4 linked regions of the Saccharomyces cerevisiae S288C genome follow. The main gene of each other region encodes a partner of the protein of the gene in region 2 in a complex. Each region holds a gene or a part of one and is shown on either strand. Other genes may lie near its edges. The genes, in order: SHG1, BRE2, SET1 and SWD3. A codon is read from its position in the direction of its gene.

Region 1 (2,747 bases), on a different chromosome or scaffold from region 2:
TGACACCAGATGAAGTTTTGTCATCACTTGTCACTGTTACATTTTTGAGTGATTCTATGCTAGACTTGATCAAATTATTTATCGCATGTACCAAAGAGGGTTCTAGAATTTGGAGAGATTCTATTACTAGCCGTTCCAAGCAACCTTCCATGAAATATAGTTGAGCAAACTTTGCACCGTAATATAATATCCTTTTAAAAATACTGGGCAGATAATAAATCCGAAAAAACTTTCTCTTCTCAGGTAAGTAATATCGCAGCAGCGATATAATTGCATATATCTTGTGAGAATCAAATATTGCTGATGCGTCAGGTGTAGGTGTTTGCTCATTTGTGTAAATCTTTGGATATACTTTGTCTCGCCACAACGGTTCATCATTATCAATAAAATGTGAGTATTCATCGATAGGCGAAACATGCATTCCAATTTTGTTACCATCGTCTAAGATAGAAGAAGGCATATTATGACTTTTCCTTCTATCCTGAGTTTTCGATGACGTCATCAATGTGCTGTAATTATTTTTAAATTGGGAATTCAAGTACTTTATCACTTGAATATGAAAATCTTTAACGTCATTAATGTGTTCTTTGAAGTTTTTTCTCAGTAAGCGCAAAAAGAATATACCATCTGCCTTCGTATCTACCTGTTCCTTATTGAAATAAGGAAACATATCATTAAAAATAAGGGCACGAATTAAGCTTTCAACTTTATCATTACTATCCCACTTTAAAGATCGTATATGCGCAAAGTCTTGAACTAATGCTTCTTCCCCATAAGGCCGGAATGCGCTGAACATATTTTGAAGGTCATTTAATCTAAGAACGGCAGAAGAAATCGAAGAGAACACAAGATTTTTGGATGTCCAGATTAATTCAGCACCGTCGATCCTAACTTGCTCTCCAGTGAATGCATCGATACAGTTGGCGACATAAACAATCTTTTCCCAAGGTATAATGAGTTCTTTCAGAGGATCGCTAGATTTTTGAAGATCAAAATTCTCGTAAAATTTCACCAAACATTCTTTGAGTTTCATTCGAAATTCGTACATGAACTGGAGTTGCCTTTTATCATCAGAATCCCATTTCCAAGACGAATACTCAGCCATTAGTTTGTAAAAGATTTGAAAGTTAGATCCATTATCTGGCCATCGCTCTTTTTTAATGAACTCATCTAAAGATGCCACCCAGAATCTTGAGAGTGTAAGCCCGGTAGTTTGGACTTCGGTTTCTAAGTAGTCGATTGCTGCAAACTTTAACTCGTAGTATTTCTTCATGCCGCAATATTTGTTTATTTGTCCACTCAAAGCTTGGAAGTGAGATTGATATATGTAATTTAAATGGAGGAATTGCTGAACATCTGTTTCTGAGGAAAACTCTGACGATAGAGACGCGACACTGGAAAGCAGCGCCTTTTTGATGCATTTGTATATTACTGTTTTACCGCTGCGAGTTTTATGGTGGAAACGAACGGTACCTTTTGAAGATGCAATGATCTGGGCCAGTTTTTCTGACTGTATAACAATCCGCCTTAAATTGCCAGTTGCTAGATTGCCTATAACATCTCTATATCTGGCAACAGCCTCGTCAATGGACATGACTATAAAATAAACTACACCTTAAAACTGAGTTCATATACCGCTTGCTGCTTCCATATTAAACACTTTTCGTTGTATAAATATGATGGCCTTTTTTTTTGTCTTATTTTTCTATATCTTGAAAACGAGAGATACTAGAGAAATAATACGTAAGAAAATCAGTTCTTTATTTAGCGAAGCTGAAACACAGTATAAGAGAGTAGAGCTTATTTCAAATCCAAAAAATGGCGTATAATCAAGAAGATAGTAAAAGACTATCAGACAAGTATAAGAAGGAGGGACATTTTGACAAGTTGAAAAGAGAAATATTGTCTAACCCATGGAATAATACAGAAGAGAATAGTGAATCTTTTGAACAAGCGCTTCGGAAAAGAGTTGCCAGTACTGTTAAAGAAATGGTTAACGAAGATGAAGAATTAATATTTAAAAACAGAGGGCTAACCAGTGCATTGATTGAATCACAATTGGTCAAGGACAACTACCTAAAGCTGGGTAGTAAAATGGAGGGGGATAATGGTGATGGTGAGAAGAAATTTGACTTGGATGTCTATGTACGGTCTAAGTTACAGGATCCCAAACTATTGGAAATGATAAAGGGACAACTTCAGGAAACACTGAACTCTTATGAAGAGGAAGCAAATGGAAGTACGTAATAACTCTTACTAATTCTGTATATAATATAGCATATCATCACAACGACGACTTTTGAACTTCCTGCCTGCACGATCCACACTTCTGTACTTGAACCTATCGCCTAGTATACTATATCTCAATGCCGAATCGTCGTCATCTGATATTGGGATTTCAAATTGAAATACTGTGCCCTTTTTTGGAATGCATTTTATTTCGTCTATTATATTGCCCTTGACAATCATGATAAAAAATTTCTGAGAGTCCCAGATCACAATGCCTTGAAGGCCTATTAAAGTCTTATTTTTGCTCTTTGTAACGCGTAACAGCGCACCATTATAGTCTGCCATAGATAGTTTTAATAATGCTAATGATCCATTGAATGTTTTTAAGTTTTTTGTAATGTTCAAAAGTTCTTTAATATAGTTAATCCATAGTTCCTTATACATCGGTACAAAATCAACGTACTGCGGTAATGATTCGTATATCGTTGGATGCTTCTCCTCTATGTAGTGTAAAAGGT
Region 2 (4,003 bases):
ATTTTATACATGGCCAATGCGATAACTTTTGAAGACGGATTTGGGCTTGGTAAGTCTGAGTAGTCGTCAATTTCTCGGTTAGTTAATGTGATGAAGGAATCGTCCAAAAGGCTAGGATACCTGGTGGTGATGCTTTCTTCAGGTATACCAAAAGGTCGACCAAAATACGAGCAAATTTGCCGATCTAAGGAGTAAACGCACCAAAATAGACGCCTGCGTATTTCTCTGGTAAAGGCGTCATAATTTTTATTAATTTTTTCCGAATGTAGTCCTAGGTCAACCGTTAGTCTTAGTACAGAACCCATAGTATACCAAACACCGGGGACATTAGGTCTCATTATTGAATAGATTACCATGAGCAAAGTGCCTGCCAATGCCTCCAACCTGTCTGAAGATGAAAATAAAGATGCAATATATTTAGTAGCGCGTCTCTTATATGTCGCGACAGTAGTAATATCTGACTTAAGTACCTGCGTAGCATGGCCAATAGCAAATATAATGTTTAAAAAAAAATAAGGTATGTGAAATTTTGTCGGTAGTTCAACTATCGGACGCATGTTGACTTTTTGAGATGTCTCCCAAGTGTCATACCATGGAACATCCACGGAAGAGCATACGTCAATCTTCTCAGTAACGTTCTCCCTTTTTGGTTCAGTATGCGCACTAAAAGCACTGGTAATTGGAATTTCGAACGCGCTATTTATGCCTGTCTGATCAGATGCCAATGCAATATTGGGATTCCAGGGACCATAAATAGGTTCAAAGTATTTTTTCAGGAAAAGTTCTCTATGCAGCAAAGGTAACTGGGAATTAGTATCTACAAAAAACCTGGATATCATAACTTCAGCGGCATGTCGAGGTGGTAGTTCCAATGGATCAAAGTGTGGATTGTTTTCAGCCTCTGCATATCCATTGTATTTCTGTTCCCTTTGTTTAATATCTTCATCCAGAACGTCATCTCCGGAATCTTGACGAAAATTAGTTGCCGTGAAGACTAATTTCGCAAAGGAAATACCCGATGAATCTCCTAAAAAAGAGTTAAAACTACTTTCTCTCATCGTGCCCAGCGCACTGATCTCCTTATTACATCGGCGTAGCTCTTCCGCTCTTGCATCTGAAGTCATAGGGCTGCCTGTCTCGGGTAATAAAGCGCTACCATCTTGTTTTTTTGAGTTTACCAGAAATTCCTTGCGTTGTACATTTATAGTCTGTGGGCTTGCCATAGACTTGCTCGTTATAGCTGAGGATGCCATAGAATTCCCTTTCTGAACCAAATAATCCGCCAATAAGCCATTATGTGGCAATATTCCCTCTTCTCCCAAAGATGAAACTGAACTGTACTTTTTCAAATCAAAAGGTTCATCATCACTTGTAGCAGGTATATTTCCTCGTATTTTCGTGGGATCTACTCCATATTCTTTCAACACACGCATCATGACAGCCAATCTATCTTCCAGAAAAAAGACGTAAGATCTTGGAACGTCCTTTCCGGTGGCTGGGTCCAAAGAAACACATGGTACCTCTAATTTTGCACACCTCTTACAGCTAGGAAACTCCTGATCACATTTAATTTTTTTCAATCGACATCGTTTACATGCAGTTCTAGATTTGGAAATTCCTATATTAGGAGAATCTCCTCTTTTTGATAAATCTGTTCTATTACTTTTTTTGGAGTTAAATTTTTTCTGCTTCATGATTTAATCATCATCTTCGTATGTTTTATGTACTCTAAAGGGTTACTCCTGTGCGAATAAAGCAAACCACTTTACGTTACTAAAATTTTTCACATTTGGTATTGTGAGTATTTTATGAAGCTCATCGCGGTAAAAGAAAAAAATAGAGAATCTGTGATTATAGTTTAAAAAGGATGTAGACAAAGGATATCAGCGATAAAGGTGGCCATAATTGGACGAAGACAAATAATTCACTTCCTTAATAATGAAGTTGGGTATTATACCTTACCAGGAAGGTACTGATATTGTTTACAAGAATGCTCTCCAGGGTCAGCAAGAAGGGAAGAGACCTAATTTACCACAGATGGAAGCAACGCACCAAATCAAGTCATCGGTTCAGGGTACAAGTTATGAGTTTGTCCGCACAGAAGATATTCCATTGAATCGAAGACATTTTGTGTACAGACCGTGTTCCGCAAATCCCTTTTTCACTATTTTGGGGTATGGCTGTACAGAATACCCATTTGACCACTCTGGAATGAGCGTCATGGACAGATCTGAAGGGTTGTCAATTAGTCGAGATGGAAATGATCTGGTAAGTGTCCCGGATCAATACGGTTGGAGAACTGCAAGAAGCGATGTGTGTATTAAAGAAGGAATGACGTATTGGGAAGTGGAGGTAATTCGTGGAGGAAACAAGAAATTCGCAGACGGTGTTAATAATAAGGAAAATGCTGATGATTCAGTAGACGAAGTACAAAGTGGCATATACGAAAAAATGCACAAACAAGTGAATGACACCCCGCATCTACGATTTGGAGTTTGCAGAAGAGAGGCCAGTTTAGAGGCTCCCGTAGGGTTTGATGTGTACGGGTATGGTATTAGAGACATTTCGTTAGAATCTATCCACGAAGGAAAATTGAATTGCGTCCTAGAAAATGGTTCGCCATTGAAAGAGGGTGATAAAATCGGATTTCTACTGAGTCTTCCTAGCATTCATACACAAATCAAACAAGCTAAGGAGTTTACCAAAAGAAGAATTTTTGCACTGAACTCCCATATGGATACGATGAATGAACCATGGAGAGAAGATGCTGAGAATGGGCCTTCAAGGAAAAAATTAAAACAAGAGACAACGAACAAAGAATTTCAAAGGGCGCTATTAGAAGATATTGAATATAACGACGTCGTCCGCGATCAAATCGCCATCAGGTATAAGAACCAGTTGTTCTTTGAGGCAACGGACTATGTAAAGACAACGAAACCGGAATATTATTCTTCTGATAAGAGGGAAAGGCAAGACTATTACCAGTTAGAGGATTCATATCTTGCTATCTTTCAAAATGGTAAGTACCTAGGCAAAGCATTTGAAAATTTAAAGCCGTTGTTACCACCGTTCAGTGAGTTACAATACAATGAAAAGTTCTATCTTGGATATTGGCAACATGGTGAAGCTCGTGATGAGTCCAATGATAAAAACACAACCAGTGCCAAAAAGAAAAAGCAGCAACAAAAGAAAAAGAAGGGATTGATACTCAGAAACAAATACGTAAATAATAACAAACTGGGTTACTATCCAACAATCAGCTGTTTTAACGGTGGAACAGCGAGGATAATTAGTGAAGAAGATAAATTGGAGTACCTCGATCAAATCCGATCAGCTTACTGTGTTGACGGGAATTCAAAAGTTAACACACTGGATACATTGTACAAAGAACAGATAGCTGAAGACATAGTATGGGATATAATCGATGAGTTGGAGCAAATTGCCCTACAGCAATAAAGCAGCATTCAAAGAAGAATAATTAAAACACACTGAAAGTGTGTTTCTTATATATGGTTATACATTCATGAAGATGAGTTCGTAATCGTTATCTTCTTCAAATTCTGAAAGTGTAAGGACGTCACCACTTCGTAGCTCTATATATCTCGCTCCAGGAATTACAACGTTGTTCAAACATGTCCCATTGGACGAATCCAAATCCATTACATAACATTTCAAAATGCCACGAACGTTCCTGAACTGGATGACGCAGTGCTGCTTTGAGGATGTTTCTTCGGGTATACCAATGTCTGCGACAACGATCTCCGTTCTATCGTCGAGATCTGTATCCAGACTGTGGCCCAGTTCACGACCGACTAAATAACAGCTCCTGCCGTTCAAATCGTATCTTTTCCACGGTCCTTTATCCTTGTCATTCTTTCTGTATATCACTAGTTCATACATAGTCCTATCTCGCGCCTCCAGTCCTAGCATATCCATGTAGTTATCTGGAGAAATAGCGTCCTGCGGCTCCACATGTTTTAAAGCTATACCTTCTTTGTTATTC
Region 3 (5,966 bases), on a different chromosome or scaffold from region 2:
CTTGATAGTTTGTCATCTTGCTGAGTCGAAAGACAATTTCGTGTGTCAATTGAACCCAAATTATCTTTTTTTTCGCTATTTGATTCAGAAATTTTATTAAAACTAATTTTGAGTTTTGATATTTTTGGTTGAGCGGTATCAGTACTAGAATATCGTAAGGAAACCCTAGAAATGGGCCGGAATGCTGTCGGTAGCCTAAAGAAATGCTTCATCCGTGGCCTTTACGTTTTCTTGCGCATATGTTATGTACCATCTATATTATTGAATGTTCGTGTTTTCAGGCATTTCTCTGCAAGCAAAAGTCATCGCGAAATCTTTATTCTTCAACAGTGAGAGATCGCAAAATTTTCCAAAAAAATGACACGAACAAAAGTACTAATCGTTAAAATAATGGCCGAGATTACTTATAGATGTATACAGTTTAGTATTTATCTTTACCTTTTGCTGGAAAGCAACGATATGTTAAATCAGGAAGCTCCAAACAAATCAATGTATCATCGTCAGTTCAAGAAACCTTTACAATTAGGTGCTCCACATAAACAAGGAAGTCTTTCCTCGTCATCCTTTTCTCTCTCAAATTTGTAATCATATGTCAACTCTTCGCTTGCCGCGATATCACGCAGTGCATAGATAACAATTCTCCTTCTCCCGCCAACCTTTATAATCTTTGCCGTACAATTTGGATCACAACAATGATTAATGAAACGGGCTATACCACCTTTCTTGGTGGCATCAATAACCGTGTTTTCATCAACCCTAAAAAGGTAACTGGATCCAATCCCATTTTTCAGATATCTTTTCTCTCTCATTTCTGCTACAGGTTGCCTGATCCTTTCACCAACGTACTCGATAATCATTTCCTTTGCTGCGATAGAGTCTAGAGCATATAAACCCCAGTTGTGAATTGCTGAACGAGCGAACATAACTGGCTTTTTTCTTTTATTTAATTGATTTAGTGATAGCAGCTCAGATTCCGTACCAATTGCGGCTTTCTGTGCCTCTATGTCCTGCTGAAATCTTCTATTTGATGCCCTATTATCTCTAGAGGATGAAACTTCTTGAGGAACTGAGTCTGAAGGTTCTTTATTCGAGGATTCTTCTCTTTGACAAAGTTCAGGTGTGTACTCATTCCTTTCATTGTGAATATTCACCGTATTTAAAGGTTGGTGAACTCTGCGACGATGGGGTAGGTAATTAATTTTTAATTTATCCGCAATTTTCCTGAACCCTTCAGCTTTAAAAGAGCTACCTGGTTGTAGTTCACTATCAAATAAAGTTCCATTAAGCTCTATTTGCCAATCGGAAGCCTTCTCTTCTTCAAGAACTTTTCGGCGAGATTGCCAAATTTTATATTCCAGAGCTGCGCTTGTTTCTGGTGTGACGGTAGGAGTATATGTGCTCAATAACTGCTTTAAAATTAGCATATCTTCCTCATCTTTGATAGCATTCTGCAAATCCATAGAAGATAAAGTCTGACTATATTTCAAGTCATATTCCTCAGGTGGATATACAGGTTCGGGAATTTCGGTAGCAGTAGGTTTATACATCGAAGAAGCATCCAGTACGTCAGACGACCCATTTTGATCGGGTACTAACGGCTTAATACCATGAAGGTGATCAGATTCGGGGGTGGTTGGCTCAGACTCACTCTTGAATTTCTTATCTGGAGCTTCTTCTTCCTCTTCTTCAGAAGATGAAGATGTCATATTTTCGTCTTCTTCATCATGTTCTTTTGATACGCGAGTGATCCCTTCATCGTTCAATGGGGTAGTTTCTTTGGAATCGGTTTCTTCGTTCAGTAAATGTGCCATTGGTTTGATACCATTGGATAGCTTTTTCCTCTTTAAAGAAGTATGATCCAACGCGAGTGAATTATGCCTTTTTAAATTTCTTTTATTAGATTTTGCATAGCCACCATATAAACCAAACAAATCAAAATCTCTTTTGGCTTCTTCTTTACGTTTCAATTCATCTTCAGCAATTTTAGATGCAATCTGTTGTCTCTTCTCTTTCTCCTTTAGTTCTCTTTTAGCTAACAATTCAGGAAAATTTGCATGGTCCAAAGCATCAAATACCGTAGGACCAATCAATCTCTTCTTAATATCAACATGTAAAGTCTTTTCCAAATCTTTTAATATTTGTTTTGCTGTAGCTTCAATGAACTCCTCTTTGGACTCGTATTTTATAGGTACATTTGTAGAATTTGAAGATGAGCTAGATTTATTGAATCTAGTTCTGTTTTGGAACCTAGGGAGAATGAGATGAAACTTTATTAGAATAGGAATTCTTCTGCTCCGAGACATTATTGTTAAATTTCCTGACTCTGCATTCGAACATGTTTGCGCATGGGCAATGTCATTAAAAATAATATAGATACCAGTTGGATGATCAATAAATTTCGCACATCTGTATCCCCTTAACTTGTATTTAAAGTCCTCAACGCAGAACCTATGTTTGGCAACAAATATTTTGGAGACATGTAAAACAGGTCTGTTATTAACTACCCCCAAGAGATCATATGGAATTCTTTTTTCACTTCCGGACGAATGAGATAATGTGTCTACCTTAGGTTCCTTGGGCAAGGTAATATCTTTGCCCTGTAATTCCTTTGCTTTTTCGTTTTCTGCTTCTTTCTCTTTAGCCTTCTTCAGGTTCTCTTGTAACTTCTGTAGCTTTTTGACATTTATTTCAACAAATTTAGAAATGATATTATTCAAAATGGAATGCTTGTTTAAAATCACTTCGAACTTGAAGCCCATGATAAAGCAACCCGAAGATTCGTGCTTTCTAACGGCACTAAAGGCTGCTTTTGCTGCATCATTAATTTTTCCATCAGAACTGGCATACTTTATAAGATAAACATGCAAAGGTAAAGCGCTATTAGGATCATTAAATGCTTCAAAATGAGAAATTTCTCCATACTTTTTAAAATAGTTTTTTATTGATATGTCTTGGATATTGGTTGTTGTTGAATCTTGCGCTGGATAGACAACTATTTCACATGAAGGGGGAGGCCCTAAGGAGTACCTGTCATAAGATATGCGAGGCAATAGAATTAGTGAGTTCCTGCATTTTCTGTGGGTTGCCACTTTTCCGCTAGTCATGATACCGTTTTCATTACGTGGGTCGGATGCTTTTATCTCCGGATGTCTGTGTTTTATTTTGAACTTAAACTGTCCATCTTGTAACTCTTTGACTACGTAATAACCTGTTTCAGAAAATTCTTTATCTGTAGCCTTCCACGAAAGCATCTTATCCTTATTGAAGAACTCGCCTTTTATGGGATCAAAATAATGAAACTTAGACTTCAAATTATCTGTGTTGTATCTCAAAACTGAAGGTGGTCTTTGTTGCAAAAGCAGAGCAGATTCTGTGGGAAGAGATCCACTCGAAGACGCTAATGTATTGTGAACATTGCTATTTGAATACCGTGATTGAGACATGCCCCTCCGACTACTGATGTCAGATTTCTTATTTACATATGGGCCGCTTTGGCTGTTGTTAGTAGCATAGTACTGTCGCGTACTTGCATTGTTTGAACTATGTGGGCGATCGTCATTATAGCGTCGCCTTGTACCATCATTATGGTTATAACGTCGACGTTGATTATATTGACTAGAATATTGTTGGTGAGAATGGCCGTTTGAATACTGATAGTGACCAGAACGCGAATATTGAGGCTGTTCCTGGGGTTGTCTGTATGAACCAGAAGACGCGTGTGCTCTTCTATAGTAATTTGACATTCTCTAAACGCAGAGACCTCTTATAAAGATTCAACAAATAAGGAATGTTACCTATGCTAGTCGCAACTCTCTCGTAAGTTGAGGGTTGCTAACAGAAAAACGATGAGAAGAAACTTTTGAAAAATATTGTGTGAAAGCAGCACGAAACAGAGTATGAAAAAAGAATGCGGGCGTCCGTAAAGAGCTAGAATCGCAAGTGTCCAGAATATGCAAGGCTTTCGAATACACTCCTCACGCTTCTCTTCAGCAAAAATCAACTCTTTGTGATAAAACTGTGTATTTCTTTGTTCTTTGCCGTTGTTTACGTTAGTAAGAAATCGGCATTGAAAAAAAAAATCTCACACTAAAATTGCAGAAAAAAGTGTACAATATCAGTAAATAAAATTGGCCAAAACAATACCATTAAAACCAGTCATGTCCATGCAACAAGTCCAACATTGTGTCGCAGAAGTACTTCGACTAGATCCACAAGAAAAACCGGACTGGTCGAGCGGATATTTGAAGAAGTTGACTAATGCGACATCGATTTTATATAATACTTCACTGAACAAGGTAATGCTGAAACAAGATGAAGAGGTTGCTAGATGTCACATATGTGCATACATAGCGTCACAGAAAATGAATGAAAAACACATGCCTGACCTTTGCTATTATATAGACAGTATTCCCTTGGAGCCGAAAAAAGCCAAGCATTTAATGAACCTTTTCAGACAAAGTTTATCTAATTCTTCACCTATGAAACAATTTGCTTGGACACCGAGCCCCAAAAAGAACAAACGCAGTCCAGTAAAGAACGGTGGGAGGTTTACTTCTTCTGATCCGAAAGAGTTGAGGAATCAACTGTTTGGTACACCAACTAAAGTTAGGAAAAGCCAAAATAATGATTCGTTCGTAATACCAGAACTACCCCCCATGCAAACCAATGAATCGCCGTCTATTACTAGGAGAAAGTTAGCATTTGAAGAGGATGAGGATGAGGATGAAGAGGAACCAGGAAACGACGGTTTGTCTTTAAAAAGCCATAGTAATAAGAGCATTACTGGAACCAGAAATGTAGATTCTGATGAGTATGAAAACCATGAAAGTGACCCTACAAGTGAGGAAGAGCCATTAGGTGTGCAAGAAAGCAGAAGCGGGAGAACGAAACAAAATAAGGCAGTTGGAAAACCGCAATCAGAATTGAAGACGGCAAAAGCCCTGAGGAAAAGGGGCAGAATACCAAATTCTTTGTTAGTAAAGAAGTATTGCAAAATGACTACTGAAGAAATAATACGGCTTTGCAACGATTTTGAATTACCAAGAGAAGTAGCATATAAAATTGTGGATGAGTACAACATAAACGCGTCAAGATTGGTTTGCCCATGGCAATTAGTGTGTGGGTTAGTATTAAATTGTACATTCATTGTATTTAATGAAAGAAGACGCAAGGATCCAAGAATTGACCATTTTATAGTCAGTAAGATGTGCAGCTTGATGTTGACGTCAAAAGTGGATGATGTTATTGAATGTGTAAAATTAGTGAAGGAATTAATTATCGGTGAAAAATGGTTCAGAGATTTGCAAATTAGGTATGATGATTTTGATGGCATCAGATACGATGAAATTATATTTAGGAAACTGGGATCGATGTTACAAACCACCAATATTTTGGTCACAGACGACCAGTACAATATTTGGAAGAAAAGAATTGAAATGGATTTGGCATTAACAGAACCTTTATAACATATCCAGTATTAACTAAAAGTATATATTTGACCAATACCTGACATATCTTCTAAAGCATGCCTTTAGCCCTATAACGAGCTAATGTTAGCTCCATCTTTGCACTTATGATTGGATCAGCCCTCAAACGCTTTTGTATCTTTGCAGCTTCCGCGAAGGTAGTAGCTTGAAGTTTTTCATCCATAGTTCTTGCTAAAATTGCAGAATCTTCAAACAATTCTATGGCCTCGTCAATTTTTTCCATTTGTAATTTTAGTTGTGCTAACCCGATCTTCGCTTGTTCAGATCGTGGATCTAATTCACAGGCTTTTGTCAGCAGCTTAATGGCTGCGTTGAATTTCTCTTCATCCAACTGGGTTGGATCTTGAGAGGATTGTCTAGCTAATATAGTTGCTTTCCCAATCAAGGGTCCTATACCCACATGTATTTTTTCTTGCACTTCTTCCAACCTTTTAGCAATATCATATTGTTTAATTGCAGTATCAAAATCGCCCCTATCTG
Region 4 (3,454 bases), on a different chromosome or scaffold from region 2:
AGTAAATCACAATTAGCCTTGTTAACCCATGTTGCAGTAATGAAGTCATACGCAGTACACATCGACAAAGGCGTACCAGTAAAATATTTGTTCCTGATATCCTGAATCGTATTATATTTGACAACGTTTTTTGCTGTAGAAAAAAATCGCTTAGAGGAGGTGCATAATTGTCTTTTCATTATATTCATATTGTGAGTAAAAATTTCCCTAATTTTATGGCAAGCTAATTTATTAACAAGACAGATGCTAGCTATCAATGCAGTAGGTAATCTGTACTAAGCTTTTGTATAGGCTGGTTTAAGGCGCGAGTTCTTCGAGATGTGAACACTTAATGTTGAAAGCTGCCCGAACTTCCCTTAGTAGTTTTTTAGGATATCTTACTCATCACGCAAGACAGCAGCAGTGAAAAATAAAAAAAAAAATTAGAATAAAGTAAAAAATATCTGGCTGAAAATCCGATCCCTTAAAACTTTTAAACGTCTATAATATATCTATATATACTCTTGTGTTACACCTTAAGGGAATGTCTGTCGTGTACATAACGCAGATTCTTTAAACCCATCTCCATAAACAGCAATCTCCATTCAATGCAAGGGAACACATTATATTACCGAAGCAATGTATGCTCATTACAGGGCTGCTGTGGTGATATAAAGAACCATCGAGCAACTGTAAGAGGCTTTTTGTATCAGAATTCCAACAATATATATCGCCATTTTCATAACCGCTGATCACCAAAGGAGTGGATCCATCTTCAGGATTTAAGAAGTCCATACCGCAGGAATGATGCAGTACGCCCTTTTCAAGAGGCTGAACCTGGAAAGTACGAACTACACAACCCCCGATGCAATCCCATATTTTCACTACACCGTCCAGCGATTTCACCAGGAGATATCTTGCATTCTCAGAAAACTTAACTTGGGAGATGGGTACCACACCATTTTCTCTTTTCCAATCCTTGTCATAGGTCAATGTCTTCAAACAATGGCCCGTCTCTGCATCAAAGATCCGTATGAGCCCGTCATATGAACCTGAACTCAGAATGGATGAATCATTCATGGGTACGTCCACCGACACAACTGCTTCTGAGTGTGCAGATATTGTTTTCATCAAAGACCCGTTCAGTGTGTCCCATATTTTGATACTTTCGTCCATTGAGGATGTAAACAGCAAGTTCCCCTTTCTATTGAATGTCAGAGATATCACTGGCGCTGTATGGCCGATAAAAGTGTGCAGCAGCCCATAAGATAAATGAATGATTTCCACAGAAAAATCATCCGATGCAGTAGCTATGCACTGTCCATCTGGAGACCAGCATAACTCTGAGAAAGGCCTGGCATGTGATGTGACTAGTGTTTGTGATACAGTTCGTCTGTTAATGTCGTATATCAGGATGTTAAGTCCTTGTGTTATAGCAAGAAACTGCCCATCAGGAGATATTTTCGCACAAGTAGCTTTCAATCCATTCTGTGTTCCCACAGGAGTAACAAACTGGAACATGTTAGCATATAATGGCCACTTGCAAATGAATGAGCCTACGCTCAAACTTTCCAATATCTACCGCCAGTGATGCACAAGCATTTCTTATGGTCTTGCTTTTTTCACTCCTCGGGTAACCATGCAGTGGCAATTTTATCCTACCTGAGGTTATTAAAGTATATTATGTAGTTTCCTGCTCACTGGAGAGGGAATGAGTATTAAATAGACAAGACCAGAAACAGCCTGCATACCAACTATGAATATCGTCCCACAAGATACCTTTAAATCTCAAGTCTCTACAGATCAAGACAAAAGTGTTCTTTCATCTGCAGTGCCCTCCTTGCCAGACACATTACGCCAGCAAGAAGGCGGTGCAGTACCTCTTTCCACACAATTGAATGACAGACATCCATTAGAATCAACATTGAAGAACTGGGAAACCACACAGCGCCAAAGACAAATGGAACAGTATCGACAAATATTTGGCATTGCCGAACCAATGAAAAGGACGATGGAAATGGAAATCGTCAATCGTACCGACTTCAACCCCCTTTCAACAAACGGTAGTATACACCGTGACATACTACTGAACAAAGAGTGCAGCATCGATTGGGAGGACGTCTACCCTGGTACTGGCCTACAAGCCAGCACCATGGTAGGTGATGACGTCCACAGCAAAATCGAAAAACAATTAGGCATTTAAAAATTGCTCTCAATTTCTTTATACATCTGTCACGTAAACCATTGAAAAGATTAGATTAGTGCCGTAATACTTATACTACATAGTTGTGCCACACTATATTTTTAGTGTCCTATATAGTCCGCAATTACCCTATGCCTTTTTTTCAGTCGCACTGAAAAAAAAAAAAATTTTTCATATTTCCACTTATAGGTTGATTTGATTTGATGGGCCTTTTGGAACTTTTCACAATACTACAAATACCCACACACGCAGTTCAGTGGTCTCTTCGAGTTCATCATTTCCATTCGTACTCCTTGAGCTTTTACCTTCCTTCCTCCTCCCCTATATACTCAACTTCTCAGCCCACATCAATAATGATAGCACCAGACTCGCAAAGATTATTCGGTTCCTTTGATGAACAGTTTAAGGACTTAAAACTAGATTCAGTCGATACAGAAAACAATAACACACACGGTGTTTCTACTATCCTGGATTCCTCCCCTGCGAGCGTTAATAACAATACAAACGGTGCTGTTGCTGCAAGCGTGAATACAGTCCCTGGATCGACGTTTAGATCCAATACACCTCTTTTAGGAGGTCGACATCCACTCAGTAGGACGTCTTCCTTAATCGATTCTATTGGTATACAGCGTGCTGCGTCACCATTTTCTTCTATGAAAGAGCCTTTTATTCCTCAAAGTTCGGGAGTAATGAGTTCCTCTTTTTGGCACGGCGACCATCCTGAATCACGGGTTAGTACGCCTGTTCAGCAGCATCCACTATTGCAAAGAAACGAGTCCTCCTCCTCCTTTAGTTATGCTGCTAATCTTGGAGTGAATCTGAGTACACATTCATTGGCGGTAGATATTACTCCATTAAGTACACCAACTGCTGCCCAATCTCATGTCAATTTGTTTCCGTCCTCTGATATTCCTCCTAATATGAGCATGAACGGAATGTCACAACTCCCAGCACCAGTTTCAGTTGAATCCAGTTGGAGGTACATAGACACGCAGGGACAGATTCATGGTCCATTTACTACCCAAATGATGTCACAATGGTACATAGGTGGCTATTTTGCTTCAACCCTTCAGATTTCAAGATTGGGAAGCACTCCAGAAACGCTAGGAATAAACGATATTTTCATCACACTTGGTGAGTTAATGACTAAACTCGAGAAGTATGATACGGATCCATTCACTACTTTTGACAAACTTCACGTTCAAACAACCAGCTCTGATTCTATCAACTTGAATCTAGCTCCTTACGCAAGCGGTGTTGCCGCTACTGGCA

What was found.
Region 1: BRE2 (region 2) and SHG1 share a complex: the UniProt entries of both Saccharomyces cerevisiae proteins name them as parts of the set1C/COMPASS complex.
Region 3: the proteins of BRE2 (region 2) and SET1 are in contact, whole or in part, in a cryo-EM structure (PDB 6BX3), measured with the Saccharomyces cerevisiae proteins. Residues at the interface, in NP_013115.1 of Saccharomyces cerevisiae: Gly118 (codon at 2,290), Trp119 (codon at 2,293), Glu194 (codon at 2,518), Ala195 (codon at 2,521), Phe199 (codon at 2,533); in NP_011987.1 of Saccharomyces cerevisiae: Arg973 (codon at 827), Pro975 (codon at 821), Val976 (codon at 818), Glu978 (codon at 812), Met979 (codon at 809).
Region 4: BRE2 (region 2) and SWD3 share a complex: the UniProt entries of both Saccharomyces cerevisiae proteins name them as parts of the set1C/COMPASS complex.

The regions. Positions count from the first base shown.
Region 1 is NC_001134.8:729,234-731,980, reverse strand, and holds SHG1 (Shg1p), read left to right. Parts: upstream 1-1,818; coding exon 1,819-2,247; downstream 2,248-2,747. Other genes in the region: YBR259W (uncharacterized protein), read right to left, coding at 1-1,594; POP4 (RNase P/RNase MRP complex subunit), read right to left, coding at 2,257-2,747. UniProt on the Saccharomyces cerevisiae protein: The COMPASS (Set1C) complex specifically mono-, di- and trimethylates histone H3 to form H3K4me1/2/3, which subsequently plays a role in telomere length maintenance and transcription elongation regulation.
Region 2 is NC_001144.5:173,289-177,291, forward strand, and holds BRE2 (Bre2p), read left to right. Parts: upstream 1-1,938; coding exon 1,939-3,456; downstream 3,457-4,003. Other genes in the region: PPR1 (Ppr1p), read right to left, coding at 1-1,694; PML1 (Pml1p), read right to left, coding at 3,514-4,003. UniProt on the Saccharomyces cerevisiae protein: Component of the Set1C/COMPASS complex that specifically mono-, di- and trimethylates histone H3 to form H3K4me1/2/3, which subsequently plays a role in telomere length maintenance and transcription elongation regulation.
Region 3 is NC_001140.6:343,820-349,785, reverse strand, and holds SET1 (histone methyltransferase SET1), read right to left. Parts: upstream 3,744-5,966; coding exon 501-3,743; downstream 1-500. Other genes in the region: mismatch repair ATPase MSH1, read right to left, coding at 1-212; ORC6 (origin recognition complex subunit 6), read left to right, coding at 4,158-5,465; protein channel TOM71, read right to left, coding at 5,518-5,966. UniProt on the Saccharomyces cerevisiae protein: Catalytic component of the COMPASS (Set1C) complex that specifically mono-, di- and trimethylates histone H3 to form H3K4me1/2/3.
Region 4 is NC_001134.8:580,454-583,907, reverse strand, and holds SWD3 (Swd3p), read right to left. Parts: upstream 1,501-3,454; coding exon 553-1,500; downstream 1-552. Other genes in the region: ECM31 (3-methyl-2-oxobutanoate hydroxymethyltransferase), read right to left, coding at 1-188; UMP1 (Ump1p), read left to right, coding at 1,736-2,182; SMY2 (Smy2p), read left to right, coding at 2,536-3,454. UniProt on the Saccharomyces cerevisiae protein: The COMPASS (Set1C) complex specifically mono-, di- and trimethylates histone H3 to form H3K4me1/2/3, which subsequently plays a role in telomere length maintenance and transcription elongation regulation.